4 linked regions of the Tamandua tetradactyla genome follow. The protein of the gene in region 2 interacts with the protein of the main gene of each other region in a pairwise test. Links are inferred from orthologs where the notes say so. Each region holds a gene or a part of one and is shown on either strand. Other genes may lie near its edges.

Region 1 (7,586 bases), on a different chromosome or scaffold from region 2:
CCCCCCATCTCCCATGTACCCCCATCTATCTTTTTTTTCTAATTGAGAAATCTTCACACACATACATTCTACACATGGTGTACAATCGATGGCTCACAGTGTCATCACATAGTTGTGTATTCATTACCATGATCGGTTTTTAGAACATTTGCATCACTCCAGAAAATGAAATAAAAAGAAAAAAGAAAAAACTCACACATACCATACACCTTACCCCCTCTTTCATTGACAACTAGTGTTTCCAACCCCATCTTTGATAGTACCATTACTAATGAAGCAGAAAAAAGTTTCAAAAGGATAAATGCTTTTAAACATTGAAAATGTTTTTCAGTCATCAAAGATAATCAGAAAGAAAAATTCATCTTTAAAATATTTTGCTTTGATTGTAAAGGAAGACCATCATTGGCAATAAATAAATAAACATGTTTTTGAAGCTGCCTTGACCAGCTCTAACACAGGCCATGCTAACACCATGTCTACGTACATATTTATCATCCAATTCTTGGAAAGTTCCATTGATCATAAGATTATAAACACACATATTGTGTTTTCCCATAGTGGCCAAACTTAGCAAACCGCCACCAAAAAACCAACAAGAACAAACTTTCTCTTCAAGTTGCCTGTAAACAAGGTCTAAAGTGTGGTTGATGGTGGTGACAAAATTCTTATAATAAAGGGCAACTGACCTACAGTGTGAGCTACTTTTATTGGAGGGTTTTTTTTTTTTAGCATTTTAGTCTATTCAAATAGGCTAACTCATAAGCTAACAGTTTTCTTTTTCTTTCCTATTTTCTTTAATTGCATTTCTTTTGGGTGCATTTCCCCCAAAAGAGATTATATAGCTTATTGCATGTTTGGTTATACCATACTATATTCATTAGAGCAAGATTTATTTTGGGTGCATTTCCCCAAAAAGAGATTATATAGCTTATCGTATGTTTGGTTATACCATACTATAGCTATTAGAGCAAGATTTCCAACAAATTAATGCACCTTTCACCTCCCATAGCCTCTGAGTGGGGGTACTAAAATGAAATATATTTTAGGAATCCAGCCACCATTGAAAAGATCCAGTGATGAAGTGTCCACACTTCAACTGAACTTTTGCTTTGTTTTACCCATACACACCCCCAAATACCCACACACTTAAAATAACAACCTTCCTTAGCATCAGAGCTGATGTTTTCACATTGGATGCAGCACCTGTTATACAACTGGAGTTTGCAAGCTAACTAAGGGGAATTTGCTCAGCCTGGTGGAGGCAAGGAGCTCAGGGCTCAGGCCTCCTAAACCTTTGGTCACTATGTTAAATTATCAATGGTCTCCTTTCCTTCAGTATTTAACTGACTTAGGACAGTGAACTGGGGCCCCACTGCTTTATCTAAATCATATGTATCCATATCCTACAAATTATGTATTTATTTATGCATATTTGCATGTACTTTTATAAGGCAGGTTATATATATATATACATAATTTTCAAATTGTAAACGTCAAAACAGGTGACTGAAATGGTGCAACCTCTGTGGAAGGCAGTTTGGCGGTTCCTCAAAAAGCTGAATATAGAATTGCCATATGACCCAGCAATACCATTGCTAGCTATCTACTCAGAGGACATAAGGGCAAAGACACAAACGGACATTTGCACATCAATGTTTATAGCAGCATTATTTACAATTGCAAAGAGATGGAAACAGCCAAAATGTCCATCAACAGACGAGTGGCTAAACAAACTGTGGCATATACATACGATGGAATATTATGCAGCTTTAAGACAGAATAAACTTATGAAGCATGTAATAATATGGATGGACTTAGAGAACATTATGCTGAGTGAGTCTAGCCAAAAACTAAAGGACAAATATTGTATGGTCTCACTGATATGAACTGACATTAGTGATAAACTTGGAATATTTTGTTGGTAACAGAGACCATCAGGAGATAGAAATAGGGTAAGATATTGGGTAATTGGAGCTGAAGGGATACAGACTGTGCAACAGGACTGGATACAAAAACTCAGAAGTGGACAGCAAAATACTACCTAACTGTAATACAATTATGTTAAAACACTGAATGAAGCTGCATGTGAGAATGATAGAGGGAGGAGGGCTGGGGACATAAATGAAATCAGAAAGAAAGACAGATGTTAAAAATTGAGATGGTATAATCTAGGAATGCCTGGAGTGTATAATAACAGAGACTAAATGTACAATGTACAAATTTTAAAAATGTTTTTGCATGAGGAAGAACAAAAGAATGTCATTATTGCAGGGTGCTAAAAATAGATGATAATATTTTAAAATGTCACCTTATGTGTGAGACTAAAGCAAAAAATCCTTATTTGTTACAAAATTTATATTTTGACTAGTGCATTTCCTAATGTAACTTATGTAGATAGTTTGATTGAACACCATAAGTACTTGGAATCTCAGGTAGGACATGAGATTTTGTTGGTTTCTCCAGAGTGATGCCCTGATGAATCCCAGAGTGATTCGATCAATGAGTGGAAAAGTATTTGCAAAGCCCCCTTCGGAGAATGGTGAGAATGGGGAGAAATTCAACTTCCCCAAGCTGAATTCTTGATATTCTCACAAGCAGTGTGGACAACCAAAGCTATAGGCTGAGCCCCCAGGCTTGGGGGTTGTTCATATGAAATTTAATCCCACAAAGGATAGGTCAAGTCTACTTAAAATTTAGGCCTAAGAGTCACCCCCAGGAGAGCCTCTTTTGTTGCTCAGATGTGGCATCTCTCTCCAGCCAACATGACGAGCAGTCTCACCACCCTTCCCCTCTCTGCGTGGGACATGACTCCCAGGGGTGTGGACCTTCCTGGCAACGTGGGACAGAAATCCTAGAATGAGCTGAGACTCAGCATCAAGGGATTGAGAAAAACTCTAGAATGAACTGAGACTCAGCATCAAGAGATTGAGGAAACCTTCTCGACCAAAAGGGGGAAGAGTGAAATGAGACAAAGTGTCAATGGCTGAGAGATTCCAAACAGAGTTGAGAGGTTATCCTGGAGGTTATTCTTACGCATTAAGTACATATCATCTTGTTATTCAAGATGTAATGGAGAGGCTGGAGGGAACTGCCTGAAAATGTAGAGCTGTGTTCCAGTAGCCATGTTTCTTGAGGATGATTGAATAATGATATAGCTGTCACAATGTTACTGTGTGATTGTGAAAACCTTGTGTCTGATGCTCCTTTTATCTACCTTGTCAACAGTCAAGTAGAACATATGGAATAAAAATAAATAATAGGGGGAACAAATGCTAAAATAAATTTAGTTTGAAATGCTAGTGATAAATGTAAGCGAGGGGTAAAGGGTATAGTAGGTATAATCTTTTTTTTTCTGTTTTCTTTTTATTTCTTTTTCTATTGTCTTTTTTTTCTTTTTCTGAATTAATGCAAATGTTCCAAGAAATGATAAATATGCAACTAAGTGATGATATTGTGAATTACTGATTATATATGTTGATTTTTTGGTTTCTTAATTTTTTAATTAATAAATAAATTTGAAAAAGAAAAAATATTTACTGATCTCTAAATGTAACAATAAGTGCAACATAAAGACACTGATCATCTTGGACTGTAATCTGACAGCTCAACTGTACAGTTTCCATATTATTTACATTATGAATATTGTGACTGTGTTTACTGATGAGCTATCTCCTGTCTTAAATACTCATGAAACTACTTCTACATTTCATTTTCAAATCAAACAAAAGAAACAGTGAAAAAAAAAAACAGGTGACTGGCTATATCACCTGTGATGTGTATTAAATAACAGGAGTCAATCTCAGCAACCCTTCAGGTCTAACCAGGCAGGCCTAATGCTCCGAAACCATCGCTTGGCACATCAAAAACTGGAGCGTGTTTATTCTTTTAAATACACTCTGTCAAAGGCCCCTCCATTAGAGCGTTGAACTGCTGTACACTTTGTATCCCTTTGGGCCGTATCTTAGTCAACTAATATAATTTTACTACTTTGTATCCAAATACCACAGGATGCCTCACTGCATCTTTTTGGTGTTGGGAGAGCCAAGCGTCCCACTGCGGCAGAATTTAATTTTATTAAAACCACTTCTGAGAGTTGTCCTAAAATTCAAACCGAAGGCAACGCTTTTTGTTTTGAGCAAACCACAGAATAAATGAATGCAGGAACGACGGGGGAAGGCAGGAAAACCCTAAAGGGCTTGTTACAGAGTTGTAACAATTGAATCACCCAGGACACTAAGTGCCACGCCCCAGCGCGTGATCTCACTTAAACCCCAACAGAAAGCACCATGCTCATTCCTTTTACAGATGAACACAATGACAGCCCGAGGTGGTTTCAGAACCCACCACCCTTAATCTTCAAAACCCTGCCTCAGCGGACCCTAACACTGGTCTGGCATCTACTGCGCATGCCCCGATTCAGTGGCCAATAAGAGTCCGGCACCCAGGAGTGGAGGCGGGGCTATGTTATTCTCCCAGAGCCCTGAGGCTTCAAAGCACAGCAAGGAGGGGAATTCGTTCACCGACCAATCAGAGCCCACGTCAGTCCCCGATCTGCTCGCACCCTGAGCCAATTGCCTGCTCCGGTGTGGCAAGAGCTTGTTCGAAATTACGGAAGCGAGGGGTGGGCGGTGAACGAAGTTAATTAAGATGGCGGATATGAGAGAGGCTGCGGGCCTGAAAGTGAGGTCCGCTCTAGGCGGGTGGGTGTCGGGAGGAATTGGGAGGCTTGGGACGAGTAAGATTGTGACATTCTCCTCTCCGTTTGGAGCTTGGGCCTGGCTTCTTGTTGGGATGAGGCAGCCTTTAGTAATCCAGCCCCGCAGAATAAAAGTGGTATGTTACAAGATGGCCGCCACCACCCAGTGCTAGGATCGTAGGCTGACTGTTTCATTCTTACTCCCGGGTGATCCGTCCCAGGCTGCGGACTTTACGCAATCTGGGGAGTGGGTCCCCTTGGGGTCAACACAGCCCTGGGGTCCCCTAACTGGTGTGTGGACAGTCCTGTGATCATACCAACTGAAAGGAGTGGACATTCCTAGAGCTACAAAGATTGGGATGCAGGGAGGAAGCACCCATCCAGGGAGAGTTGGGGGTGACTTTGAGAGTGTGGACAATGTAGGGACTGGGGGGAGGGGGGAGGGAACTCTGGACCCCCAGCTGATCCAGGTTAGCAGCCATACCGTAGAGCTATTGTCTAGCACAGTGTTTTCCTGTACGGGAGTGGGAAACCTGGTGGGTGGGACCTCTGAGGTTGGCCGGGAGGGCTCCAGGGCCATCTCACAGCACTGCAGGAATCTGGCCGGGTCCCACCAAGTGGACCTCTGAGATGGGCTTTGCAGCAGAGAAAGTAAAGAAAGGGCAGTGGGAAAGTGGTCGTGTATTCTGGGTCTTTGACCATCCAGGAAGGAGAAGGGTGAAGAAGAACTCGAGAGAACAGGGCGTGAATGCTAGGCTAAAGGGATAATATTTCATTTATCTAGGTTGCCCAGCTAATTCATAAAAACAGTAACAATAACGCATAATTATAATATGTCAAGCTCTGCCCTAATCACTTTCTATGAATTCTCATTTAATCTTTACAACAACCCTAACCACCATTGTTATATTCCCTTTGTGGGTGAGAGAACTGAGGCATTTGAGAGGTTGCCAGAAGTTACACAGCTGGTAAATGGCCAGCAGTAAAGCCAGGCTAAAAGGCTCAGTAGGGTTCTGACCACTGAGCCCTTCTTATCTCTACAGATGTCTCTGCTTTTCTGTGCACACCCTATACTCACCCCACCCCCACCAGGACTAAAAATCAGCTGCTCTCATAAGGGCCCTTAAAGAACCCATTTTTCCATAGTGAACAGTGTAGAGCCTTTATGGGAGGGGGTTAGGCCCTCAGCGTTCTGAGTTATTTTTCTTCTCCCTTTTCCCAGGGGATACCAGAGAGGCAGTGGTAAAGAGAGGATGAGTTTAGCTTTGTGGGAAGAGGATGGTATATTCACAGCATAGATATCTGGACTATAATTATTTATTCAGCAAATATTGATTTACCCTCTACCACTGCATGCAGGGTCTTGTGCGAGGTGATGAGGATACTGCAATGAACAAGACAGACAAGGATCCTGTTCCTACCTGCCCTTGGGATGTATTTTGGGAATCCTGGGGACATTTGTGGTTCTCACTGTGTCAGGGGTGCTTCTGGCATTGAGTCGGCAGGGACCTGCAAGGCTAGGGGACAGTCCCACAATACAAAGACTTACAACATCCATACATGTCATTTTAGGATGCTGAATGCAAACACTTATTAAAACGGAGCATCGGGTCTGAGGGTTGGGAGCTATTGTTTTCTTAGGTTGGGCCTGTCCCTAGGAAGCACCCCTCAGGGGTATGGAGGGCCATGAGGGGTGGGAAGGTGAGGGGAGAAGGATGGCATTGCAATATCAATTTTGCGGTCCTGGCCTCTATCTTGATCTTAAAGGACAGCAGTTGGACCCTCCCCATGCCTAGATCTCCTCCATGGACTCCATGTGGTGGTGACCAGCATGTGGAAAACAACCCGGGATCATAATACTGACTGTGTCTTACTCGTCACAGGGCTTGAGGCATGGAAATGGGAATTGCATAGGCAGTAATCTCCCCAAAGAAAGCAAACTAAGCAAAGATATGAACAGGAAATGATTCTCAATTTGGTACCCTTTGAGGCAGGCGTAGATGATGGGGGAGCAATGGGTGGGTGTAAATTATTGGGCATACACTGGTATTTGGGGGTTTGTAGGTGTTCATAATATTATAAGAAGTGAATTAGACTTTCTGCTTCCAGCTGTTTTGGGCTGCCTGTATTGTATCAGACCAACTCTCCTGGTGAAAGCAATCAGAAAAGTTGGATTAAGGTTCGTTTTTTAACCTATTTGAAAGCATGGGAGAGCAAATTATCTTTGAGGTCATCACCTCACCGAATGCTATCCAGTGCCAAAAAGCACTGTTTAATGGAGACGTATAAACCAGCTCCAATTTATTAATGCAGGTTGACAGAGTAATTAATACTATATTATAATATGAACAATGATACTAAATTCAAAAATTGCTGTATTACAGAGTGGGGAAACTCGTTTTATTAAGGACCCAAATAACAAAATCTGCTTTAGGATTTTTATTTAAAGAAAAAGATATAAGCCTGTTTGCTACTTAGAAATACAAACAGGAAATATGCAACTTTCAAGAGTGACATGCAACTTTTAAATATTAATTTTAAAAAATAGCACATGTAGCAGAGGTTTAGGGTTCCCTGATGTAGAGCTATAGGGACACATCTGGGGGCCAAGAAAGGAGTAGGAAGGTGGAGAACAAAAGACATAAAAAAGAAGCAGAATTTTATCTTGGCCGCCATATGGCACCTAACAGTTTAGGAACTGTTGACCTCTACTCTCCTGCTTACAAGCTATGTGTTGTTGGGCAAGTTGTCTAAACTTCTCTGGTTCTCAGCTTCCCTATCCCCTATGGGGATAACAGTAGTGCTTCCTTCATGAGGTTGTCTGTGCATATTATATGAGTTGATAAATGTAAGGCCCTTGGAAGACATAGCAGCAAACACTAAGTAAAAT
Region 2 (7,536 bases):
CGGGTGCTAACACCAGAAAGGGTAGCAGGCCCTGTGCTAGTTTAGGACCTTCCTACAGTAGGGCAGGGAATGAGGGCCCAGGCAGAACCACAGGCTTCTTGGTCTCCACATGGATTAACAAGCTGTTCCCCCCTCTCCCCCATCCCAGGACTGGCAGGAGGAACAGTCAGAGCCAATAGGAGAAGAGACTGCTCAGGCCCAGCTCTGGGAGGCTACAGCCTGGGCCCCGCCCCCTCCTGGCTTTGTCCTTGGCCCACAGTCAGGTCTGGAGGGAGAAGGGTCTGGGCTCCGCCTTCACGGCTGATTGCTTTTCATCATGCAAATTATTCTGTCAGTAAATTCGGTCGACCCTAACAGAGACCTCCACAGAGCCAAGGGCTGAGGTTGACCCCAACTTGCCCTCCCCCAATCCCCATGGGTTTCCTGACACCTGGTTGGGGTGGGGTTGGGTCGGGGAGGGAAGAGCGGAGGGCCTGGGAACCAGACTTTGTTTAGAAGCAGTTTTGAGAAGTCAAAACTGGGGCACTTGTTCCCCAGCTGAAGCTCCTCAAAGAGGCCTGGAAAGGTAGCAGGTGGTGTGGGCTAAAAGGATGCTGTGCAAAGGAAGCAGGAGCCCAGGGTTTCCAGCCTGGGTGTTTTTGGAAGGTACTGAGTTTTATGGTTCGCAATGTCCCTTTTCTTTCTGCCGTTAATAATAATAATAATAATAGTAATGGTAATAGCCGCCATTTATTCTGCCCTTCTTAGAGACAGACACTGGGCTAAATGGTTTAATTCATTATCACATTTAACCCACATGCCCACCCTCTGAGAAGGTATAAGAATCCAACAGGGAAACTTGCCACAGGTGTTACGGTTGGAAGGTGGCAGAGCTGGAAATTGGTCTCTGGTCTTTGTGACCCCGAGTCCTGTGTGCACACTACCTATGCAAAGGAGAGCCCACCCAGACGTTCTCTGAGCTGCAGATTATTGGAGGAGTGGAGAGGCCCTTTTGTCCTTGCTGATAGGAGGAGCGGAGCTGTCTTGGCTGTGAGAACCAGGGCTGGTTTGCAGGTCACGTTCCAGCTGCTCTACGAGCTGTCTCAATGTCTGCACATTGTACCTGGGACTGAAATTGTACCTGGGATAGCAATTTCAACTAGAGGTTTAGAGGGTAGTCCCTGGAGCCAGGTTTCTGGGCTGAAATCCAGACTCTGCCACTAGCTTGGAGATTCTGGGAAAATGACTTAAACTTTCAGAACCTCAGCTTCCTCATTTGTGTACTGGGGGTGGTGATCACCCATAGGACTTAGGTGAAGACGAAGGAACAGAGTATTCTAAGTGTTATGATTGTCGGCGCTCTTTAATCTGCTATTTTCGTGTAAGCACTTAGTCCCCTCCCACCTCCAATCCCCCCACCGCCCCCCCCACCAAAAAAACAAAACAAAAGGAAAAACTGGCCAGGAAGGTTCCCAGGCATCTTCTTACAGTTGGGTTAGTACAAGTTAGAAAAATGAAGTTTTGCCTGAGGAGTAACAGGTTTGACCTGTAGTTATTAAGACAGAGAATACTGTCTTAAAGTCAGTCAGGGAGAGTGGTGCAATCGTGGCACAGTGGCAGAGTTCTCACCTGCCATGCCAGAGACCCGGGTTCTATTCCCGATGCCTGCCCATGCCAAAAAAAAAAAAAAGAAAGAAAAAGAAAAATGCCCCACAGAGAGGCAGAATAATAGAAAGCAAAGAGCTCAGCTTCAGAAGACAGGGAGTCCCGGGTGGACGGCCGGCTCTGCATTTCTGAGCTGTATGACCGTCCACAAGCCCCCTCACCTCTCTGAGCTGCTGTTTCCTCATCTATAAAACAGGAATACGAATACCTGCCTTACCAAGTCATTGTGAGGGTTCATGGTATAATAGGTGCTCAATATTTGGTACATTTCCCACTTCTCTTCCCTTGATGAGGGAATCTACATTCTCTGTCCTGGAACAACCACACAGTTTTACAAACTATTCTAAAATGACACCACCATCCTCATCTTTTGCTGGCACCCTGCTCCAGAAGTCATGCTGTTCATCCCCCGCCTCTGCATAAGCCCTCGTCTGAAACGCAGCCTCGCCTGCTGTGTGTCTGCACTCTCACCATGTCAAGAAGAGAGGTTTATTCCTCCTTCCCTTGTCCATTTCAATGGACAATGATTGGGAAGTTCTTCTGAAGTCTCACCAGAGAGCCAGCCTGAAAATGGCGCGAATATCTGAGCGAGGACAAGTCCGTGGGGACTCTGGATTTGAGTGGAAGGGGAGGGGGCGATGAACCTCGAGTGAGGCCTGATAGCAGGATAAAAGATGAAACAGTGTTGCCCTGGACATCTCTGAGGCTCTGGGATGGAGAAGGGGTGCAGCGAGGGCTTGGGTGGCATGGGTTTTAAATTAAAACCCATTAAAGTTTGGATTAAAAGTTGGGAGGGCAAGGGTGAAGCCAAAGCCTGGAGTGGGCAGATTTCTCGGCCAAGGTCCCCCATCTGGCGAGCCCTGCCTGGCACCTGTTGGGATGGCTCCCGTGACCTGCGTCTGGGGACGGGCTCCCAGGCTGCGCCTGCTCCTCCTACCTGCACGTAGTTGTCCTCACAGTAGTCGGCGACCCGCAGCAGGGCGCTGTGGTTGCCCCGCAGAGCCTCTCGGCCTGTGGGAATCTCAAACTCTTGCAGCTGCTGCAGCTCCGCCATTGCCCCAGCCTCTGGCCGGCTCCCCGGGGAGCCCGCCAGTTTTGAGCCTCACCCTGCCCTTGATTGGTCGCTCTGCCTTCCCTCCCTCTCACTACTTTTGGTTTCCTCTGCGTGAGAGACCCAAACCTGCTTGCGAAGGGCAGGAGACTCATTCCGGGACAAGAGGAAGTCGGTCCCTGCTCCCTGGGCCTGTGACGCTCTGTCCCCTGCCCAGATGAAGGGGGAAGCCAGGGGCCCCTTTGGGGCCCAGTGCCCCAATCTCTCCCAGCAGAGGAAGCCAAGGCCAGGGTGGCTGTGATTGCTCCCTGGTCCTAGAGAGGAAACTGCAGGGTGGGGGGATGGAATGGCAGACTGAGGAGGAAGAGGGCTGGCCTGCGATGGGGGGCGGAGATGGGTTTTCCACTCATGGAAGGGGGAGGAAAGGGCAGAGGGTGGGGGCTTCCTTGGGAAGCTCAGGGATGAGTCACGAGGGATGGGGCGTGGAGGGTGGCTCGGGTCCGGAGGCCAGCCGGGCCGGGGCGGCCTGTGCGGTGGTTGGTGCGCAACCAGCGGAAAACAGCCGATGCCGACAGCAAGAGGCACCAGGGTCCGACATCAGGAGGGACACAACCAGGGCTTCTCTGAGAAGTGATACCAAGTCATTGAAGGGCTAGGTACGACAAGGAGCTGGTGGAGAGCTGCTCTACGTGCTCTGTGCCTGATGAAATCTGGACAAGATGAAACTGACCAAGTGCAGTGTGAGGGGCTCAGATTAGGCAACGAGAAGGACTTGAGTTGGAAAAGCACCACGTTCAAATTCCAGACTAACTTGTCAGGTTTAGGAAACAGCAGTGGCCGGAGTACTGAGCCGGGCACAGGAGCGTGGGCTCCATGCCATGCTTTAACAGGTGAGTTGGCCTAACCACCTCCAGGTCCTTCCAAGCTCACATTCTTAGATTTCACAGCTGTGAGTAGGACTTGGCTCCTGAAATAGGGGAGGTGAACAGGCAGAATGGCCATGGGCTTCCTCTCCAGCCCCCCCACCCCTGCCCAGTCTGTCACCCTAGAGGCAGGAGACTAAGAGGACTCCCCTGATCACAGTGATCCCTGAGGACATCTTCTCCTCAAGAGGACCCCTCGTCACTGGAGCACAGCCAGCCAGAGCAGGAGCTCAGGGTCTGTTAAACGGCAGGGACCCAGGGTGGTCCTGGGAGGAGACCAAGGGAAAGACCTGAGTCCCATGCTCAGGAAGCGCCTGTAAGGGGGACCCCACAGCTCCCGGGGAGGTTGGAGGCCAAGGAGTACGGACACAGGCATTAGAGTGCTAACTGGCACACACCTCACAGGCAAGGAATCTGCTTTTATTAATTGAGTAAATGAAGGTGGAACTAGACCCTCACAAGGGGAAATTTGCCGGGGACATGAAGGATTCTTGGATGAAGGACGTAAGGAGGTGGTTTAGGACTTGCCTTATTGGGATAAACAGCTTCAGAATAAGCTCAGGGGTGGGAGAGGGAAGGCTGGGGATCAGGGGGTATGTGAGGCTAGAGAGTGGAAATTAGAGGTCAGTGGGACTCTGAGCCGGGGAGGGGGTCACTGAAGGATGTGGGGGGCAGTACAGGAAACAGGGTGATGAGAAGGTGGGCTTGGGGCAGAGAGAGCGAGGGTAGCCTCTGTTCCTAGTTTTCTGGTGGGAAGAACATCAGCTCTGCTCCGTGGCAGTGAGGGCTCAGAGGCTCAGGCCGGTGGATGGGCTTAGAACTTTGAGCTTATGATCAGCTTAGGCAGCAGAGACTTTGGCTCCCAGACCATCTGCTTTATCCAAGATTTTCAGCTGCTGAGGAGCTAGGAGGCTCAAGCACCATCTCGTCTGGGTCCAGGGCCAAGTGACTCGAAGTGGCGGGCTGCTTCTTGGCAGGTGAGAGGGTCTGAGGCTGCGCCAGGCTGGGATCTAGTTTTGGCATTACCAGGGAGGCCTTCTCGATAGCCCTGCAATGATAATAACAATGAGAATATTGGTAATAATAATAAATATATTAAAGTGTTCATTATGTGCCAGGCAATGAATCAAATTATTTTGTATGCATTATTTTCTTAGTATTCACAATAATTGTATGAGGGAGGTACTATTATTATACCCATTTTACAGAGGGGAAAACGAAGACTCAGGGAGGTTGAGTAACTTGCCAAGTCCATACAACAAGGAAGCGGCAGAGCTGCAGCCAGAGCAGAAATCTGACAGATCCCAAAGCCCATGCCCTTAACCACTAGGGTACACTCTCCTCTGCCAGGATCTGGTAGTCAGAAAGAAAACTTCTAACCTGAGTCATTAGACAGGACATAGCCTTGCCTTCCAAATCTTCCTCACTGACAGAATTCCTTTTCTGTTCCTTTTCCATGCCCTGGATTCCTGTTTCCTCCTTAGACAGGCCCTTATCTAAGAGCAAAGACTGTGCCTTCCACCAGGCCAGTAGCTTCCTCTCCCACTGTGCCTTAGTCCCTGGGGCCTGGAAGGATGCAGGAGTGTATGCTGAGTGATGAGGGGTCTGAATATGGCAGGGAAGAGGAACGAAGTTGGGGTGTGAGGCATGCAGAGGATGGCCAGGGGCTTACAATCCTGAATACTTTCCAGGACCTGAACTCTCCAGGGCAGAATGGCTCAGGACCTCAGCGAGAAGGAGCTACTGAGGATGGAGGTGGAACAGCTGAGGAAGGAAGTGAGGAACCCAAGAGCTCCTGTGAGCCTTCTTATCCCCATCCCACTCTCCACTTCTTCAACCTTTCCCGTTCCTGTGGGGAGCTTGGGCACCAAGGTGTAAGCGATAGAAAACAGGATGAGGGACCTCTCCTGGGCAGTGGAAGGAGCAGGAGCCTGTAGGAGGAGGCTGGGGCTTGACCACGTGGAGACCCTTCTCTGAGCACAAGAGAGCACCTCTGAGCCTTGCAGAACTCAGTTTCTGGGCTGAGTGTGGCCAAAGTCTTCCCCAAAGGCAAGAATTAGTCTCTGTAGTTCAAGGAGCTCTCTCATGCCCCTCTCACTCTTGCCTGCCCCCTCATCTTTCATCTCTCTGGCCCCTATCCCCACCGTGCTCCAGAAGTCTGTTTTCGTGTGTCTGACCATGGCACAGATCCCGAGAAACAAACGGGGGCTGTATTTTGTTTCCTCACAGGTTTCCAAGACGGGAAAGGAAATCAAGGATTATGTGGTGGCCCAAGCAGGAAATGACCCCCTTCTCAAAGGCATCCCTGAGGACAAGAATCCTTTCAGGGAGAAAGGCACCTGTAGGATAAGCTAATGGCACCGGAGCCCCTCCCCCCGAATGTCTGTCCCTCCTCAGCCCCATTCCTCACCCAGAACCAAGCGTCCCAGGGTAACCCCCCGGGAACCAGCTACCTTCACCTTTCTCCCTCGGCCTCAGAAGTCCCAGCGCCCTCAGTCACATAAAGAGTAAATATGCCTGGCCGGATGCATCGTGAATCTATTTCCCAATCCCACTTTCAGCTCTTTTCTCCCATTATCTCCTCCACCTCCTGGGTCACCGCCGATCCGCCTTGCAAACCTTGTGTGGAGAGCTCTACTGACTTAGCAGTTGGCTCCAGATTGCGTGTTGGGGTCTGAAGAGTGCGAAAGCCGAGACCCCAGAGGGCAGTCCTGAGGATTCATTTCCTCCTGCATAGAATCCCTCCTACCTTTTCCCTGGGGAAATGGGTTTCCACAGCAGCACAGTTTGGGGACAAAAGTTGTGGGGAGGGCCTTTCCCCCAATCTCAGGTCCTAACCTGCGGGCCTCCTCCTGGTCATTAGATCCTCCCGACGGCCTGAGGACAAAAAGAGTCTGTAAAGTCAGGATTTTGTGACTTCGTGATCTATCTTGCAGTGATGAGTGCTTGTTACATCCCAGGCACTAGGGATAGAACAGTGAATAAGACTAACATGCTTGCTACTCTTACGGAATTTGAGCTGAGGAGACATGAAACAAGCAATTTGCAATCAAGTCAGTAAGTGCTACTGGGGAAGTCAAGGGTAGTGAGGGGACACAGCAGACAGCAGCTATCCTAGTTCATTGGGGAGAGGTCAGGGAGAGCTTCTTGGAAGTGTCTTTTAAGATGATTTTTTTGTTTGTTTCATTTTTAAAATATTTTTATTGACACAACGAAACAAACACTAACATCTGTAACATATGAACATTCCATACTTGGTGTACAATCAATGGCTCACAATATCATCACATAGTTGTATATTCATCCCCATGATCATTTCTTAGAACATTTCCATCACTCCAGAAAAAGAAATAAAAAGAAAGAAGAAAAACTCATACATACCATACCCCTTACCCCCTCCCTCTCATTGACCTAGTATTTCCACTGAGATGATTTTTGAAGAGGGACAAGCCAGAAGGGAAGAGTGCTCCAGATGTAGGCAAACCCTAGTGCACAGTCTGGAGGTGACAGAAAATGTAATCCATTCAGGGCAATAAACTGTGGGTGGGAAGTGTTAACATGAGGCTGGAGACGGAGATTAGGGCCAAGACTTCTTTCTTTTTCTTTTTTACATTTTTATTGTGAGATATAATATATACACAAAAAAGCAGTAGATTCCAAAGTGCATTGTAACAGGTAGTTATAGAACAGATTTCAGAGTTTTGGTATGGGTTACAGTTTCACAATTGTAAGTTTTTCCTTCTAGCTGCTCCAAGGCACTGGAGACTAGTAGAAATATCAATAATGATTCAGCAGTCATGCTCTTTAGTTAAATCCTATCTTCTCTGTTATAACTTCACCTTCTCTTTTGATCTTTCTCCCAGTCTTTAGGGGTGGTTGGGCTATGCCCATTCTAACTTTACATGTTGGAAAGAGCTG
Region 3 (7,744 bases), on a different chromosome or scaffold from region 2:
CCACATGGAATTTCCAGTCAGTGTGAGAAACAGACATTCATTCATTCAACAGATATGAACTGAGCACCAAGCACTTTATCCACTGGAAAAACAATGTGAAAAAGATAAGTTCTCTACATCCATGGGGCTTACATTCTAGAGTTGGGATCAGATAATAAACAAATAATAAGTAATTATACAAACTGGTATACAATTGATTACAGGAAAGGTGCTCTAAGTACAGGGTACCCTAGGCAGATAGGTCAGAAAAGGCTTCTCTCAGGAAGTGACCATTTGAGTCTCAAAAGGTAAGTAGGTAGGCAAAAAAAATAAACCTGTCATGAACAAAAATTCCCAGATAAACATATCGCATATCTGCCTCTGTGCATGTTATAAATAGATGTAGATATACAAATATGTAGGGAGGCACATTAAAAAAAAAAGGTAAGTAGGCCTTAGTAAAGTACATGGAGTAGTAGGGAATATTCCACATAGAGAGAATGGACTTTTCAAAGTGAGAAAGGGCTTGGGCAAACCTATCTGAGGAAATAAGAAAAGGCTGATGTCATCAGAGCAGAGTTTTTCAAACTGAGACTGGGACCCATTAGAGAAGCATAGAATCAATTTAGTAGGTTACAGCCAGTATTTCGATTTTTTTATGAAATGGAACATAATAGAAAACATCACATGAAAGGAGGTTAAGTATCTTTCTTCAAAACTTTATTTCAGTTATTTATTTGTGTACCGCTATGTGGGTGGTAACATAAGTGTTATTTTTTTTTAAGGTGGATCTGGATCATTGCAGGGGAGCAAAATAAAATAAAAAGATAGGCTCAAGATGAGTCTGAGAGGTTCCAGGTTATTTGGGCCTTGTAGACCACGGCAAGGATATTTTTTATTTCATTCTAAGGGTAGTTGTATCTTAACACCTAAAACACAGCCTAGCACATGAGTTAATTCAATAAATATTTGTTTCATGAATGGCCATAGCTTGGTGCAGAGCACTGGAAATGAACACAAATGGAAATTACAGAAATAAAATTACCAAGTCTTATTGATTAAGTGGGAACAGTGAAAAAGGAGTCATCAAGGAAAACTCACAGATTTCTGACTTGACAGTGTAGTCTGCAAGCCCTACTATTTAACAAAGGCAACCCTGAGGATATTTTTGCCTTTTTAATTTACAGCCCTATTCTTTCAAACTTCAGGAGGTATCTTGTAACTCATCCTCTGTATACCTGATTTTATGAACTTCTCAGCCTTTAGCTTCAAAATGCTGAACTCTAAAGATTAAATCTTTCATCATTAAAATGATCTTTCACATCTTGACCAAAAGCAAGAAGAGAAATGAAACAAAATAAAGCTTCAGTGGCTGAGAGATTTCAAAGAGTTGAGATCATTCTGGACTGTAGATATCCCATTTCGGTTTTTGTTGTATTGGGGTACCTAGAGGGAAATGCCTGAACCCTTCGAATTGTAATCCAGTAGCCCTGATTCTCGAGGATAATTGTATAACTATACAGCTTTTACGGTGCAACATTGTGATTATGAACTTGTGACTGACACTCTCCTCATACAGTGTATGAACAGATGAGTAAGAAAATAAAGACAAAAAATAAATAAATAATAGGGAGGGAAGAGGGGTTATGGGATGCTTTGGGTGTTCTTTTTTACTTTTATTTTTATTCTTATTTTTACTGTTCATGGAGTAATGAAAATATTCAAAAATCTATTGTGATGATGAATGCACAACTATATGATAATTCTGTGAAGCACTGTATATTTTGGATGGTTATATGGTATGTGAATATATCACAATAAAACTAAATTTAAAAACTATATAATTACAATTAATGATATAATTGTAATAATATTGGTTCATCAATGGTAACAAAACATAATGGGGAAAACTGGTGGGAGGATGGCATATGGGAACTGTACTTCCTGCATGATTTTTCTGTAAACCTACAATTACTCTAATTTAACAAAAAATTTTTAAAAATTGATCTTTCACCATCCTAACTGTCCCTTTCTGGACCTCTGCTAGCTATATTTTGCCACCACTTAAACTAGCAGGTTGTACAAAGAGGCTGACTACGCTACATTTTGCCATTAAAATTTCACAATGCGAGTAATAACATCATCTACGACACTATAACCTGTACAAACTGTACAAAATCACTACCAGTAAATGCTATTAAAAACACTTTTTAAAGGCGGAAAGGGTCCCATGTGCCACAAAGACTTGAAAGCTCGCTAAAAGACACCATGATATGTCAAATTCCCACTGCAGCGGAAACTGAATTATCAGAGAAAACCTAACCATCCTTCTTACAAATTTCCATTCATTAAGTGCTCTTTCTAAAACTCCATGATAAGCTATTATTTCATTCATTCGTTCCATTTTCATTCCACGCTTAAGACGGACGCTTCCCTAAGGCTCTGCAGTGGGAACCCTCAGGCCCTCTTACCCGCAGACCCCACTCTGTGGGAACAATGCCTGGCCCCTCCGTGGATTCTGGAGACCTCGCAGAGGCCGCCCGCCCTCCTCCCCACTAGGTCGCCAGCAGCGCCCGGGCCAGGTGGCGGCCTACGAGGTCCTCGGCTCGGCCGGTACAAATCTCCAGCCCCACAGGGATGGAAACCAAGAAGAGAGGCCCATAGGGGGTCCCACGGCCGAGGACCCGCGACGGGAAGGCGGGGAGACGCGATTACCTAGACGTCCCGGTTCCGAAGGAGAAGCCACCGGTCGTGCCGCTCCCGCCGGTGGCTACGGTGGCGGAGCCCAGCGTCCCGGTGCCGAAGGAGAAACCGGTGGACATGGCTGCACCCTGTGCCCGGCGCCGTCCACGGGCTGAGAGTAGTCAGGGTGTCCTCTCGCCTCAAAGCCGTGACGGGCTGGGAAGCATCGCTGTAGCCCAGGCCCGACCTGGCGGGAACCTCAAGCCCCAGCGACCAGGCCAAAGGGGTGGGACGCCGCGCGCACGCAGCTCGTCGGGAGCGAGCCCGCCGCGCACAGCACCCTGGGACGGGGGTGGAGTCGGCGCGCCCCGCATGGTACTCTGGGACGGGGGTGGGGCCGGCGAGCCGAGCTTTCTTGAGAGGATAAGTACGCAGGATTGAAGCAGAAGCAAAGGCAACCACTCTTTTTCCTTTTAGTTCTATTTTGACATTTGTTTTTGACGTTATCTATATTTTGTGTGTTTTATTGATCAATTATTGCATATATCCTGCCTTCTGCCAAAAGGGCACGGAGAGTCTTAGAGTGGAGACGGGCCCTACTGACCATCCACCTGCCCTTCCGTTTACGAAAAAGAAGGGGACTAATAATAATTCAGCTGTCCGTCCGACGAGCTGAGCCTCGATTCTGTGCTCAGTAACGTTCTGAGACTGAGTACTGGCGGTGCAGCCACTGATAGGGGGTTCAGAAACGCCCGGATAGATTTGGGGTGGCGACGGGGGCTGTGCGTGGTGCTGAGGGAACACAGGTGTCCAAGCTCCTTGAACCGAAAATGATTTAGACAAGTCGTCAAATAGTGTGAACGGAAGGGATAAGAAAAGTACAGAAGCAAGGATAATATACGGCGAAATTTAAGCGTTATTTTAGTCACGTAAGAAAAATTTGACTCCGAAGACGGCATCTTGTGACGATGGGACATTTGAGGTGCCGCCGCCGTCATAATGTGGGTCTTTATTTCTCCCCAGAAGTGGTTTTCTACCTGCCATCTCTTTGGGCAAAATCCATTCCATAAACGACCACCAGATTTTAGTCCTCCTGAAATACAGTTCTTACATTGACACAGACTTGATCAAAAACTCCAGAGATTCCATAATTACTTGCCAGAAACCTACAACCTTCCGTTGAGTTCCTAGACCAGTTAAATCCTGAAACCCGGGGGGACCAGCCTCTCCAGAACATCAGCTGGTTTCATCCCCTTAACACATTTTATCCGCAGCTCTTTCCAACATGAAAGAGTTAGAATGGGCATAGGCAAATACCCCTAAAGATTGGGAGAAAGGTCAATGGAGAAGGTGGAGTTACAACAGAGAAGATAGATTTAACAAATAAGTATGACTGCTGAGTCATTATATTGGTGTTTCTTTTCATTTCCAGTGTCTTGGAGCAGCTAGACTTTTAGAAGAACGTAAAATTAAGAAACTATAACCCATACCAAACTCTGAAATCTGTTCCGTAACTAATTGTTGTGGTGTGCTGTGGAATTTGCTTTTTTGTGTATATTTTTCACAATTAAAAAAAAAATTTTTTTTTAATGCAAGACACATTGTAATTGTTCAGTAAATGTTAGCTATTTTTTTTAAAATAGACCTCGGTATATGGACAGATGAGTAATAAAGACAAAAAATGGATAAATAATGGATGGGGATGGAGAGATGGGGACATGGGATGTTTGGATGTTCTTTTTTACTTTTATTTTTCTTTTTATTCTTTTTCTGGAGTAATGAAAATTCAAAAATTGTGATGATGAATGCAGTTATATGATGATACTGTGAATCAGTGATGGTACATTTTGGATGATTATATGGTATGTCAATATATAATATATACCAACAAAATTGCATTTAAAAAAACTCCCAGTGATTCCTTGGTCTGGCCCTCAGGGTTGTCCATTTGACCCATCTTTCCCACCTCATCTCTCTTAACTCCCTTAATGCAACACTTTCTCCTGTGTTGAGCCTGGGCATTCCCACCTCTATGTTTCCATAATTAAAACGAAGATAAATAGCATTGTAAACATTATGTAGATCACAATGGGAATGATAAATAAGAAAGGGATGGGACATATTTGAACACTATTATAAAGAAATTCATAGTGATTTACTGAACAGAAAAAGAAAAAATATGGGTTTTACAGAGAATGTTATTTTCAGTGATGGCTAAAATCTACAGTAGGGCGGGCCACGGTGGCTCAGCAGGCAAGAATGCTCGCCTGCCATGCCAGAGGACACGGGTTCGATTTCCAGTGCCTGCCCATGAAAAAAAAAAAAAATTAAAATCTACAGTAGTTCCTTTGAACTGAAACAACAAAAGATGGATTCAGATTATTTTGTGGGAAGATAGAAAGCTGCTCCTTATCTCTTTTCATTCCCTAGAATATTCTTTTTCAAAACTTTTGAAGAATACCACATAAAATTAATAAGAGCAAAATACTTGATACTGAAAATTGTTTATTAATAAAAAAGATATATAAGATTAGTTGGATGGAAAGAGTGTGTAAAAATATAGTAGAAACTAATGCAAGATAATAGGGAAAACTGGGTATGGGGTATACAGGAACTCTATCTGCAATAATTCTGCAAATATGAAGCTATTTTAAAATAAAAAGTTTATTAGGAAAATAAAGTAGGGAAGCAGGAAATAATAAATGTTTTTTTGTGTGGAAAGCACCATTCAAATTGACAACCAAATTATTCTTTCAATTTTATTTTAGAAAAATTTTAGTATAACATTTCTGCTTTGTATCTGGAAGAGTAATTCAAGTTATGCTGCAATAAAAAAATGACCCCCCAAAATCCCACAGGCAGGAGCACTACCAAGAGGGAAACTGGAAATACTTGATGAACAGTTATTCTATCACATGCGTCTAGATGCACCAAATGCTAAGACTGAACCTTAAAAACTATATCTTATCTCCTATATGTTCTTCTGTTTGTCCTATTGAAAAGAAGAAAGAAAAAAAAAACTTTACATCCTTAAATTCTACAGAACCATAACATCAAAGTGAGCAGTTTCAATAATCCCAATTGTTATCAGTTGAAAACTTGACAATAACCTGAGCTTAATGCCTACTAAAGCCTAAAGTCTACCCTCTAGCCAGGCAAAAACATGGAGAGCTGCAATTTGGCTTAGCATTCCTTACCTAGCAAGAGTAACCAATCCTTATTACAAGGGATGTTCCAAATATCACTGTCTGAAATTATGGGAACTGAACCCATGTGTCAGTTCTATGTGAATTACTGCTTTCCAAGGATGAAGCAAATGATTCTAAATTCTAAGGCAAGCCACTTCACTTCCTGTTGAGAAACTCCATCTGTTAAGAAATTCCATCTTTTGCTGATTTGCTGGCTGGATAATGACATTGTTAATGTCATAATCAGAATGAATTATCTGAAAAGCAATAGCACTCTAAAAACATTTCTAATTTTATTCGCATTAAACTCTATGAAGAAGCTTGTTTTGTACACAATTCATCTATGCATTCAGATCACGCTAATACTTTGAGAAGCTTCAGTTAAGTGATTCTAACATAGGAGGGTAGTGGAATCTGAAGTTATTTAAAAGGATTTGTAATATTCATGGTTGTGAATCTCAGAAATATCCAATGGAGAAGTTACCTTCAAGAAACTACATGTAAATATTTGTCCTCAGTTAAGGCTCTCTTTTGAAAAGTTTTCCCAGAATGGGTCTGTTCTAGTTTGCTAGCTGCCGAATGCGATATACCAAAAACAGAATGGCTTTTAAAGGGGGGAATTTATTACGTTGCAAGTCTACAGTTCTATAGAAATGTCCAATCTAAGGCACCAACAAGAGGTTACCTTCACTCACGAAAGGTCAATGAAGTTCAGAGTTTCTCTCAACTTGGAAAGCACATGGTGAACAAGGCAATGTCTGATAGCTTTCTCTCCAGACTTCTTGTTTCACGAAGCTCCCCCGGGGGCATATTCCTTCTTCATTTCCAAAGGTCTCTAGCTGCGTGGTTCTCCTGGCTCTGTTGCTGTTTCAAAAAAAAAATGTTTCCTCTTTTTAAAGGATTCCAGTAAACTAGCCAAGACCCACCTGGAATGGGTGGAGTCACATCTCCCTCTAATCAAAGGTTAATACCCACAATTGGATGAGTCACATCTCTGTGGAGAGAATCTAATCAAATTCCCACCCAGCCATATTGAATAAGGATTAAAGGACATGGGTTTTCACCACAGATTCAAACTGGCACAGGTTTTATCTTAAAGATTTAGATAGTGTCCTTCCTCTTTAAAAATCCTATTAAATTCTCAAATGATTCAACAACAATGATATGTATATAAAGAGATCAACAATGCAAATGTGACAAGATGTTAGAAACTAATGATTCCACAAGCAAGATATGCTCATTATACCACTCTTTCAACTTTTCTGTAGGTTTGAAATTTTTCAAAATAGAACATTAAGGGGCACAATACTGTAAGTGTAATTAACACAGCTGAGTCTGAGTATGAGAGAGGAAGGTTAGATCATGTGTATCACCAGAAGGAAAGCTAACGGATAAAAACTGGGACTATATAACTTGGCAAAACCTAGAGTAGATGATAATGGTGGTTAAGTGTGCAAAAATAAGAAAGTTCTTATATGAACTGGAACAAATGTACACCACTATTACAAGGTGTTAATAATAGGGTGGCATATGGGGAAACATATAATTAATACAAACTGAGGTCTGTAGTTAACAGTTACATTGTAACATTCTTTCATTAATTGTAACAAAGGCACTATACCAAAGCTAAATGTCATTAAATATCAATACTAGAAAGATATAAGGAGTATGGGACTTTTTTCCCAGAAGAAATGAAACTGTTCTCATATTGACTGTGGTGGTGAATGCATAAATATGTGATTATACCAAGAGCCACTGATTATACATTTAGGATAAATTATATGGTGCATGAATGAAACTGTTTAAAAACAAAGTTAAAGGGCAAAAAAAAAAAAACTAAAGCTAAAATAAGAATCCCCAATCACAAGTTCAAAAGACTGGTTGTTTCCTAATGA
Region 4 (7,718 bases), on a different chromosome or scaffold from region 2:
GAGGTGGGGTTTCCACACACTCCCAATATCCTGAAGTAAAAGGTTTTCTGCAGACATGGGCCTGCAGCCTCCAGCTCTGCCAGCTGCTGACAAGCGGCAGTTAACAGGGAGGCAGCGAGAAAACCATGTGATCATTCCAGCAAGTCTGATTAATGCAGTGTGTGCTAAGGCTCCAGGCTGGGAGCTGGATTAGTCTAGTGAAATAAGTTGGACCTGGGGCATGCCTGGGACCATGGGTAATCATGAAACACCACCACTCCCTCACTATTACCCCCAGAATTTTACAGGAGAGTGGGAAAAGCTTAAAGGAATGAGAAAGCAACCTGTTCCATTATGAACTACCTAATTACCTCATCCTCCCATGGCTGTGGCTGCTCTAATGACCAAGCATAACCAGAATTATAAGTGAATACAGCAAATAATGATACACAGGCTATCTTTTACCCAAAGTCAGTTCACTGAAAAATTCTCCTAAATTTTGTGCTTTACCATTCCATTACCAAGCTTCATTTTCACACAAATGCATAAGACGCAACAGAATCTCAACAATCACACTTTGTGCTCATCTTCACCCCAATCAAATTACCTTGCATGTCACCATGTTAGTGTCCCCATCTATTTGATTATTCATTTATTGAGTGTCTAATATATACTAGGTTCTCATCAATTCCTTGACGTACAACTACTATAATAATTTCAGAACAGAACAGAAATTAAGAAACAAGAAATGAGACGCAAGCCAAAAGAAGAGAGAAATGTTTACCAGTTTGTAAAGCCCAAGCTGGCAAGATTTGCCAAATGAGCTGAGGCTGTATTCTGAAACTTGCCATTAAGGAGAATCTTCAGCCTTTGCATTGCAAATCTTGAAAAAAGAAGGGAGACAAATCCCAAATAAAAACCCATGAGTCATTCTTAACTTTTTCTGTTCTTTCCCTCACACCACAAATGTAATCAGTCACTGATTCTGATTCTCCTTAGGATGACTTCTTTGACTCTGGCCCTTTTCCCCCATCCCCATGCCCATGGCTTTCATCATCTCTCAGTCAGTCTTGTTACTAGTCGTCTTCTTCTGTCCCTTCTCTAAAAATCTGTAGAGCAACCTTTCTAAATCTGATTGATGCCCCTTTTCCCACTTTAAAACTGCTTTAGTTCCTTGGTGCCCACAAGATGAGTAAAAACTCCTTGGCCTGGCCTGCACAATCTTATTGCTCCAATTTTCTTTCATCAAAACACTTCTAAAACCTCAAAATTCAGCCAGACATTCCAGTTCCCAAAATATGCCTAGATCTTCCTTCTGGGGTCCATGGGCCAACCAGACCATATTATTCATTGCTCCCTAATCCTGACCTGCACCCTCTGTGCTGCCTATGCTGTCCCTCGGCTGCTGGCTGCCTCCCCAGGACCCTGAGCTGTCCCTAGGACAGTTGGTGGTCCCCTCTGTGCTGCTAACTGCATACCAAGCTGGCATTTTGTCCTCCCCCCTTACTCCCTTGGAAACCTGTGAGTTCATCAAGGGCTGGGATTGTGTGAGGTTAATTTTGTATTCCTCATGCCTTGAACATATCTTACCAGAACAGTTATTCAGTAATGGTCTGTAGAGTGAACCTCCATGTGCCTCAGTTTTCTATTAGGGAGACAGGCAATCTAGTACCTGTGTTCACACGAAGGTGCCCAGAGGCGGCCTTCTGTCTATAGTTTGTTCCATCTCAAAGAAATGAAGCGATAATGACAAGCTGAGGCAGGCCAACTAGTGAGGACACTATTCTGGGGACTCCTGTGGTCCCTCAAACCAAACAGTTATGATGTACTAAGCTGGTACAGGAATGCCTTCCACAATGTTCCTGACAAGCCTCCACCTGGGCCCTCTCCGCTGAGAGCTTCTGGCAGAATCATGGTTATCACAGAAAACAGGGGATTCAGTCATTAAAGAACTCAGTGTTAAGTCCCAATTCTGCCATATACTAGCTTTGCGATTGCTAGCAAGCTACTTAAGTTCTCTGAGTCTTGGAGTCTCCAGGTCTAAATATAGAATAACAGTAACACTGCCCAGGCCTCTCTCAGAGATTGCTGTCAGGACCCCATAATGGAGCTGTAAAATCCTTTATCAAGTGTATAAAGACACGTCATCATTCATCATCTTTATCATCTCACAAGATGGCCTCTCCCTGGACAGCGTGGACTGCTGGAAGGCTCATCTTTATGATGAGGGATACCTCCTAATTGAAGCATTTTGTCTGTTCACTAGCAGTTTATTTATTTGGACACATATGTATTATGTATAAAACCACTGTCCTAAATTCTAGGTTAAAAAAATAAATAAAACAACAGTTTTGAGATTACCCAAGTCCTAGGAAGAGCAATCACCCAGACCAAATACAATTATATGACTACCTGGATCTACTCAGGTGGGATGGAGAAAGGAGCAGCTGGTAGTCAGCCAGAAGCAAACTTCTTGGGGGAACTTACCAGAGCATCTTTTTACTGAGCCTTCACAACCTTGAGGGCAGAGCTAGCAAACCATAGATACACAAATAACTTTTGATAGATTTGTTAGTTTGAGGAAGTCTACATTCTCGGCTCTCTTTGCAAAGTACAAGAGGAAGAGTAGTAGTCTGAATTTCTAGGCATCTGGCACAGTGCTAACTGGTCTAATTTGCTTTAGCATTGCTAAAACCCACAAGGTAGGTCCAGTGTAACAGAAGGTCTAATGGGATGGACAATCTCTAGACAGTGCCTGTTTTCCACCAGTGATTCAAACCTCCTGTTGGAGAGCTGGTTATATCTTGTATGAAAATTCATAAGGTCCTAGTAGAGAGACGAGTGGATAGAAATGGTGAAAAATCTCCAAATCCCAGCACAAAATGCACTTTAGACGTAATTTTATGAGATTTCTTTCCTAATAAAGAAACCAAGGACAAGTATCTAATAAGTTGCCCTGGGTCTTAGAGCTTTTAAATGGCAGAGCAATAACTTGGGATTCAGGTTGGTTTGACTCCACCATTATTTATTTATTTTTAACTTTTTTTTATTGTATAGTATAACATATATACAAAGCAAAGAAATAAAAAAGCAATAGTTTTCAAAGCATTCTTCAACAAGTGGTTACAGGACAGATCCCAGAGTCTGTCATGGGCTACCATACGATCCTCTCAGATTTTTCCTTCTAGCTACTCCAGAATATAGGTGACTCCACCACTTTTAACCCTTATGCCCCACTGGGGTTTTGGGACCTGCATCTATGAGTCCTTCTGGTTTATTTTATCCACCTGGCCCTGGCCAAAGTGTCAAGAACAGGGGCATAAAGGAGGTTCCATGACTGTTCTACACCTTTCCAGCCCAGGACTTGAAAAAGCACTTGTGTGACCACACAATGATTAAACAACAAAAAGAGTCACTCTAAGTCATCTAGCAATGACTAAAGACTTAGACAAAGTTGTTATTACTCCGGGGCTCAATTTCCCTTTCTACCCCGAAGGAACAGCCAGATATTCAGAATTTTGGTTTTTGTCTTTGCTTTCTTTTTGAAATAACACTTAATATGAACCCTAAAATACAAAACTGATAAAAGCAGAAGAGTTCTGGTTGAGAAGGGATGGAGGGACCCCCAGTGTTCCTGCTGCTACGCTTTACTTTCTCTTCAGTAGGGACAGACATAGACACAGTCTGAAAACACCCCGTGAAATGACTCCAGCAGTCCCTGCCAGTGCCAGGACTGTGTGGGACACTCTGAGCTATACACATTCCCCACTGTGTGCACAGATGTGAGACAGGAGAAAAAAGTGAAAATCAGTTCCTATGGTGACTAAAATACTATTCTTTTCTCATGGCCCAACCAAGGATTTTTCAGATAAGCAGGGGCCTACGTGGTAACAAGAGCTTCTCTATAGTCTCCTCAATGGCCCAGCTTCTATCCCCTTACTTCTCATTTCTTCCACCCTCTAAATAAGAGCCTCCTCATCTCTGCCTGGTCCCCCTGCCAGGCTCACCTCTTCCTGTACAGTCTTCTATGCACAGTCTCCTACTCTGGCAAACTTCCATTAAACCCACACCTCTTTTCATGGTCCGCAGAATAGAGTCTTGGTTCCTCTGTGAGGTGGCCCATTATGCCCTCAACCCACCTCCCATGCATGTCTCCTCATGGACCCCTGGCTGGTCCCAGCCCACCTCCACTCCTGGCTCACCTTTTCTTGAAAACCTGCTTTATGCCTTCTCTCACAAGTGGGTATGGAAAGGTGTGGTGCTGAGTCTAGTTTTATTCATGTTCCCTGAGAAGGCAGGGGCAAGTTTTCCCCAGTCTCAGCCTCTTAAGATGGGAGAAGGTAGCACCTGCTCTGTGGGAATGCTGCAGAAATGAAATACCTGGCCCCTGTGAGCCACAATCAACAATATTATGGCAAATGCTTCAAAACCCTAGTATGCACCCCTCCTGACTCAAACCAGCCCCTAGTGAGCACTAAATCTCCAAAATTCCCATTGATAATCAATATCCATTTTAAAATCTTACATCCTGTCCTGTTCTGAGTAACCTTTGCCCACTTTCCTGTCTCAGATCTCTAACGAGACGCACACGTGTCACTGAGGACAGGGACTAGTGGGGTTGGCATGGGGGAGACATGAAGAGCTCAGTTTCCCATAATCTCCACTAGACACTAGTCCTCACTCCCAGAAATGCACAGACCCCTCCGAGGAAAAACAGCATGCTAAGGGCAGCTTCAAGCTAAATTCATGATGCTTTGGGCCAGTATCCCCCAATTCTGGACAGCATTCAGGCACTGTGCCGGTTTGGCACTATCATGTACCCCAGAAAAGCCATGTTCTTTAATCCTCATTCAATGTTGCTGGGTGAGATCTTTTTAATTGTTACCATGGAGTTGTGACCCACCCAACTGTGGGTAGTAACTTTTGATTAGATGGTTTCCATGGAGATGTGTCACCACCCATTCAAAGTGGGGTTGCTTACTGGAGCCCTTTAAGAGGGAACCATTTTGGACAAAGCTTTACTGCCAGCAGAGCCCACACAGCCAGAGATCTTTGGAGATGAAAAAGGAAAACACCCCCAGAAAAGTCTTATGAAACGAAGAGAGAAAGCTAGATGTTGCCATGTGTCTTTCCGGCTGAGAGGTGTCCAGAAGCCAGAGACCCTGGCAGACACCAGCCACATGTCCTCCCAGTTTCAGAGGTATTCCGGATGGTATCAGCCTTTCTTAAGTGATGGTAACCTCTTGTGGGAGCCTTAGTTTGGACATTTCTATGACTTTAGAACCATAAACTTGCAACTTAGTAAATTCCTCTTTTAAAAGCCATTCTGTTTCTGGCATACTGCATTCTGGCAGCTTAGGGAACTAAAACAGGCACTGACCAAGGTTTACAGTCCTTTCTAAGCCTTCACAAGGCACAGGACAAGTTAAGCAGCTGATAGGCTTTGGATTTACTGAATGCCTTTTTATTCTTGTTGAATTAACCTTTCCAAAAATTAAAAACAAAACTAAATTAAACCTGCTGAATTGATAGGAAATCTTAAATGTGATAGGAAATCTTAAATGTGAGTTCTATACTTTGGACTAAGTCTTACCCCCAAATTTCATCATTCAACTGAACTTCTTTAGTATATTTAATTTTAAAATAGAAGTCTTAAATAAAACCATCCTTCACCTCAATTTTAAGTGAAATACTACCATAAAATACATATGTTTTTCCATCAACCAATACTCAAAAGTAGGACTTTACTGGTAATTACTTCTGAATTCAAGTCTATATTCATCTTTCTCATCATATAAGCACACTCTAAATATCTGTGCTAGGTTACTGAAAATTAACCTTTCAATCCTTCCACAAAACTTGAAGGGTTGCTATGTGCTAGAAACTTAACTATTCTAGCTTCTGTGAAGAGAGGAGTAATGAAGTCAAAGCCCCCAGTTTCATGGTGATTACATTCTAATGAACCTAATAAATAAGGAAAAGGATACAAAATAGGGCAATGTAGGAGAGAGTAATCTGGGGGCTACTAAATTTGGAAACGGTGACAGGGAAGGCCCTTCTGAGGTAGCGGCATTTCAGCTGAGATTTGGATAACAAGAAGCAGTCATTCATGCAAATATGAAGGAAGAGCATTACATGCAGAGCAAAGAAGCTGTACAAGGGGCCAAGAAGGATGAAGATAAGAGGTAAGTAGGGCTTTATCAGCCAGGGAACCCACTGGGCAGTTGTAAAAGGAAAATGTAAACAGGGAGACCAGTTAGAAGCCATTGCAGTAGTCTAGATAAGAGAAGATGGGTTTGGACTCAGGTGACAGTAGTAAACAAGTGAGAAGTTGATGATTTTAGGCACATTTTGGAGCAAGTCTCTCTCACAATTCAATTGTTCTGTGTGAGGTTCTTAGATCACTAATGAAACACAGCAAAGATGCAAAATCTTGCAACAGAAATACAAAGAACTCCACCAGGACCATAAGCTCCAGGAAGTGACAACTCTATGAAAGGAAGGATCTTACCTCCTCTTTACTCTTCTACCTATGGCTCTGGCATGCAGAATTATTCAAAACATATCAAGGTTTGTGGATTCTGAGAGATTTCATAAGAAAGTGCACATGGATTAAGTGAGCAGTCCTCTTTCTGGGGCAAGTGTCAAACAAATGGGCAGACTATCCTGCTGAATGAAAATATGCAGCTGCTCCAATGTCACCCTGATATTCAGAAATTTGCCAAGAAAGTCGTTTCAGGAATGGAGAGAAAATCAAGAAGACAAAAGCATGGAACGCTTTTATCCAGTCAAGGAATATTTACTGGGCACCTGCTATGTGTCTAGCACTGCTACATCCCTGGGAGGAGAGGGAGGTCAAAGAATAGTCCGGTACATTTAAGGCCTTTTAAAGAGTCAGGGACAGGGCATATATACCTAAAAACTTAAAATGATAATCTACAATGGTAAATCAATATGCAGGGTGTCTAAAATGTTATATTACCTGTTATGTTCATTTTTTTCCCCACTTCAACTGGCTGTTCTTCTTCTAAAGGTCTTCTTGAATCCTGGTTCTGCCATGCAGTTGGTGAGTGGCCAGAACACTGAGTTAGGGACTGAATATCTGGGCTCCTCCCTACCAGGTGAGTCAATTTATCTCTTGGAGTCCGTTTGTTCACCTATCAAATGTGGATGATAATTCCTGACCTATCCCCTCACAAATAAATCATGAGGATCAAATACAATAATAGCTATTGTTATTTTTCACAAAGAAGAAAGAAAAAAGGTGATTGAGGTGATAAAAAAATATTTAAGTCTTCTAGCCTCCTGTATTCTGGAGTAGCTAAAAGGAAAATTCTGAAAGATCACTATGGTGCCCAGTGACAAACTCTGGGATCTGTTCTGTACCTACTTGTTGAAGAGTGCTTTGAAAACTATTGCCTTTTTATTTCTTTGCTTTGTATATATGTTATACTATACAATAAAAAAGTTAAAAAAAAATTTTTAAAAAGAATACACACATGTATACATATACAACAACTACACTCATTTGCTTGTATTTGCATAAAATATCACTGGAAAAATAAGGAACAAATTGATAATAATGTTTGCCACAAAGGAGAAAGATTCAGTCACAAGGGGGGAAAATTCTTCATCTAGACCATATAATTAGATGATCCATAAATGCAAATTACTACCCAAGCAACTAAGAGAATTTAGACACTCGTAATTGTAGGAAGGTAGAGCTGAAAGTACCACAG

What was found.
Region 1: the proteins of ABI3 (region 2) and WAS interact in binary tests that used the Homo sapiens proteins (3 or more experiments, as listed by UniProt). The two-hybrid records come from large-scale screens. The link is inferred for Tamandua tetradactyla from reciprocal best matches to the Homo sapiens genes ABI3 and WAS.
Region 3: the proteins of ABI3 (region 2) and NUP58 interact in binary tests that used the Homo sapiens proteins (3 or more experiments, as listed by UniProt). The two-hybrid records come from large-scale screens. The link is inferred for Tamandua tetradactyla from reciprocal best matches to the Homo sapiens genes ABI3 and NUP58.
Region 4: the proteins of ABI3 (region 2) and EVL interact in binary tests that used the Homo sapiens proteins (3 or more experiments, as listed by UniProt). The link is inferred for Tamandua tetradactyla from reciprocal best matches to the Homo sapiens genes ABI3 and EVL.

The regions. Positions count from the first base shown.
Region 1 is NC_135353.1:121,599,804-121,607,389, reverse strand, and holds the start of WAS (actin nucleation-promoting factor WAS), read left to right. Parts: upstream 1-4,578; 5' UTR 4,579-4,685; intron 4,686-7,586. UniProt on the Homo sapiens protein: Effector protein for Rho-type GTPases that regulates actin filament reorganization via its interaction with the Arp2/3 complex. Important for efficient actin polymerization. Possible regulator of lymphocyte and platelet function.
Region 2 is NC_135332.1:30,417,848-30,425,383, reverse strand, and holds the start of ABI3 (ABI gene family member 3), read right to left. Parts: upstream 3,017-7,536; 5' UTR 2,699-3,016; coding exon 2,582-2,698; exon of another isoform or gene 2,259-2,581; intron 1-2,258. Other genes in the region: GNGT2 (guanine nucleotide-binding protein G(I)/G(S)/G(O) subunit gamma-T2), read left to right, coding at 5,332-5,415, 5,848-5,973. UniProt on the Homo sapiens protein: May inhibit tumor metastasis. In vitro, reduces cell motility.
Region 3 is NC_135330.1:190,396,421-190,404,164, reverse strand, and holds the start of NUP58 (nucleoporin p58/p45), read right to left. Parts: upstream 3,001-7,744; 5' UTR 2,802-3,000; coding exon 2,695-2,801; intron 1-2,694. UniProt on the Homo sapiens protein: Component of the nuclear pore complex, a complex required for the trafficking across the nuclear membrane.
Region 4 is NC_135338.1:61,272,163-61,279,880, reverse strand, and holds the start of EVL (ena/VASP-like protein), read right to left. Parts: upstream 3,016-7,718; 5' UTR 1-3,015. UniProt on the Homo sapiens protein: Ena/VASP proteins are actin-associated proteins involved in a range of processes dependent on cytoskeleton remodeling and cell polarity such as axon guidance and lamellipodial and filopodial dynamics in migrating cells.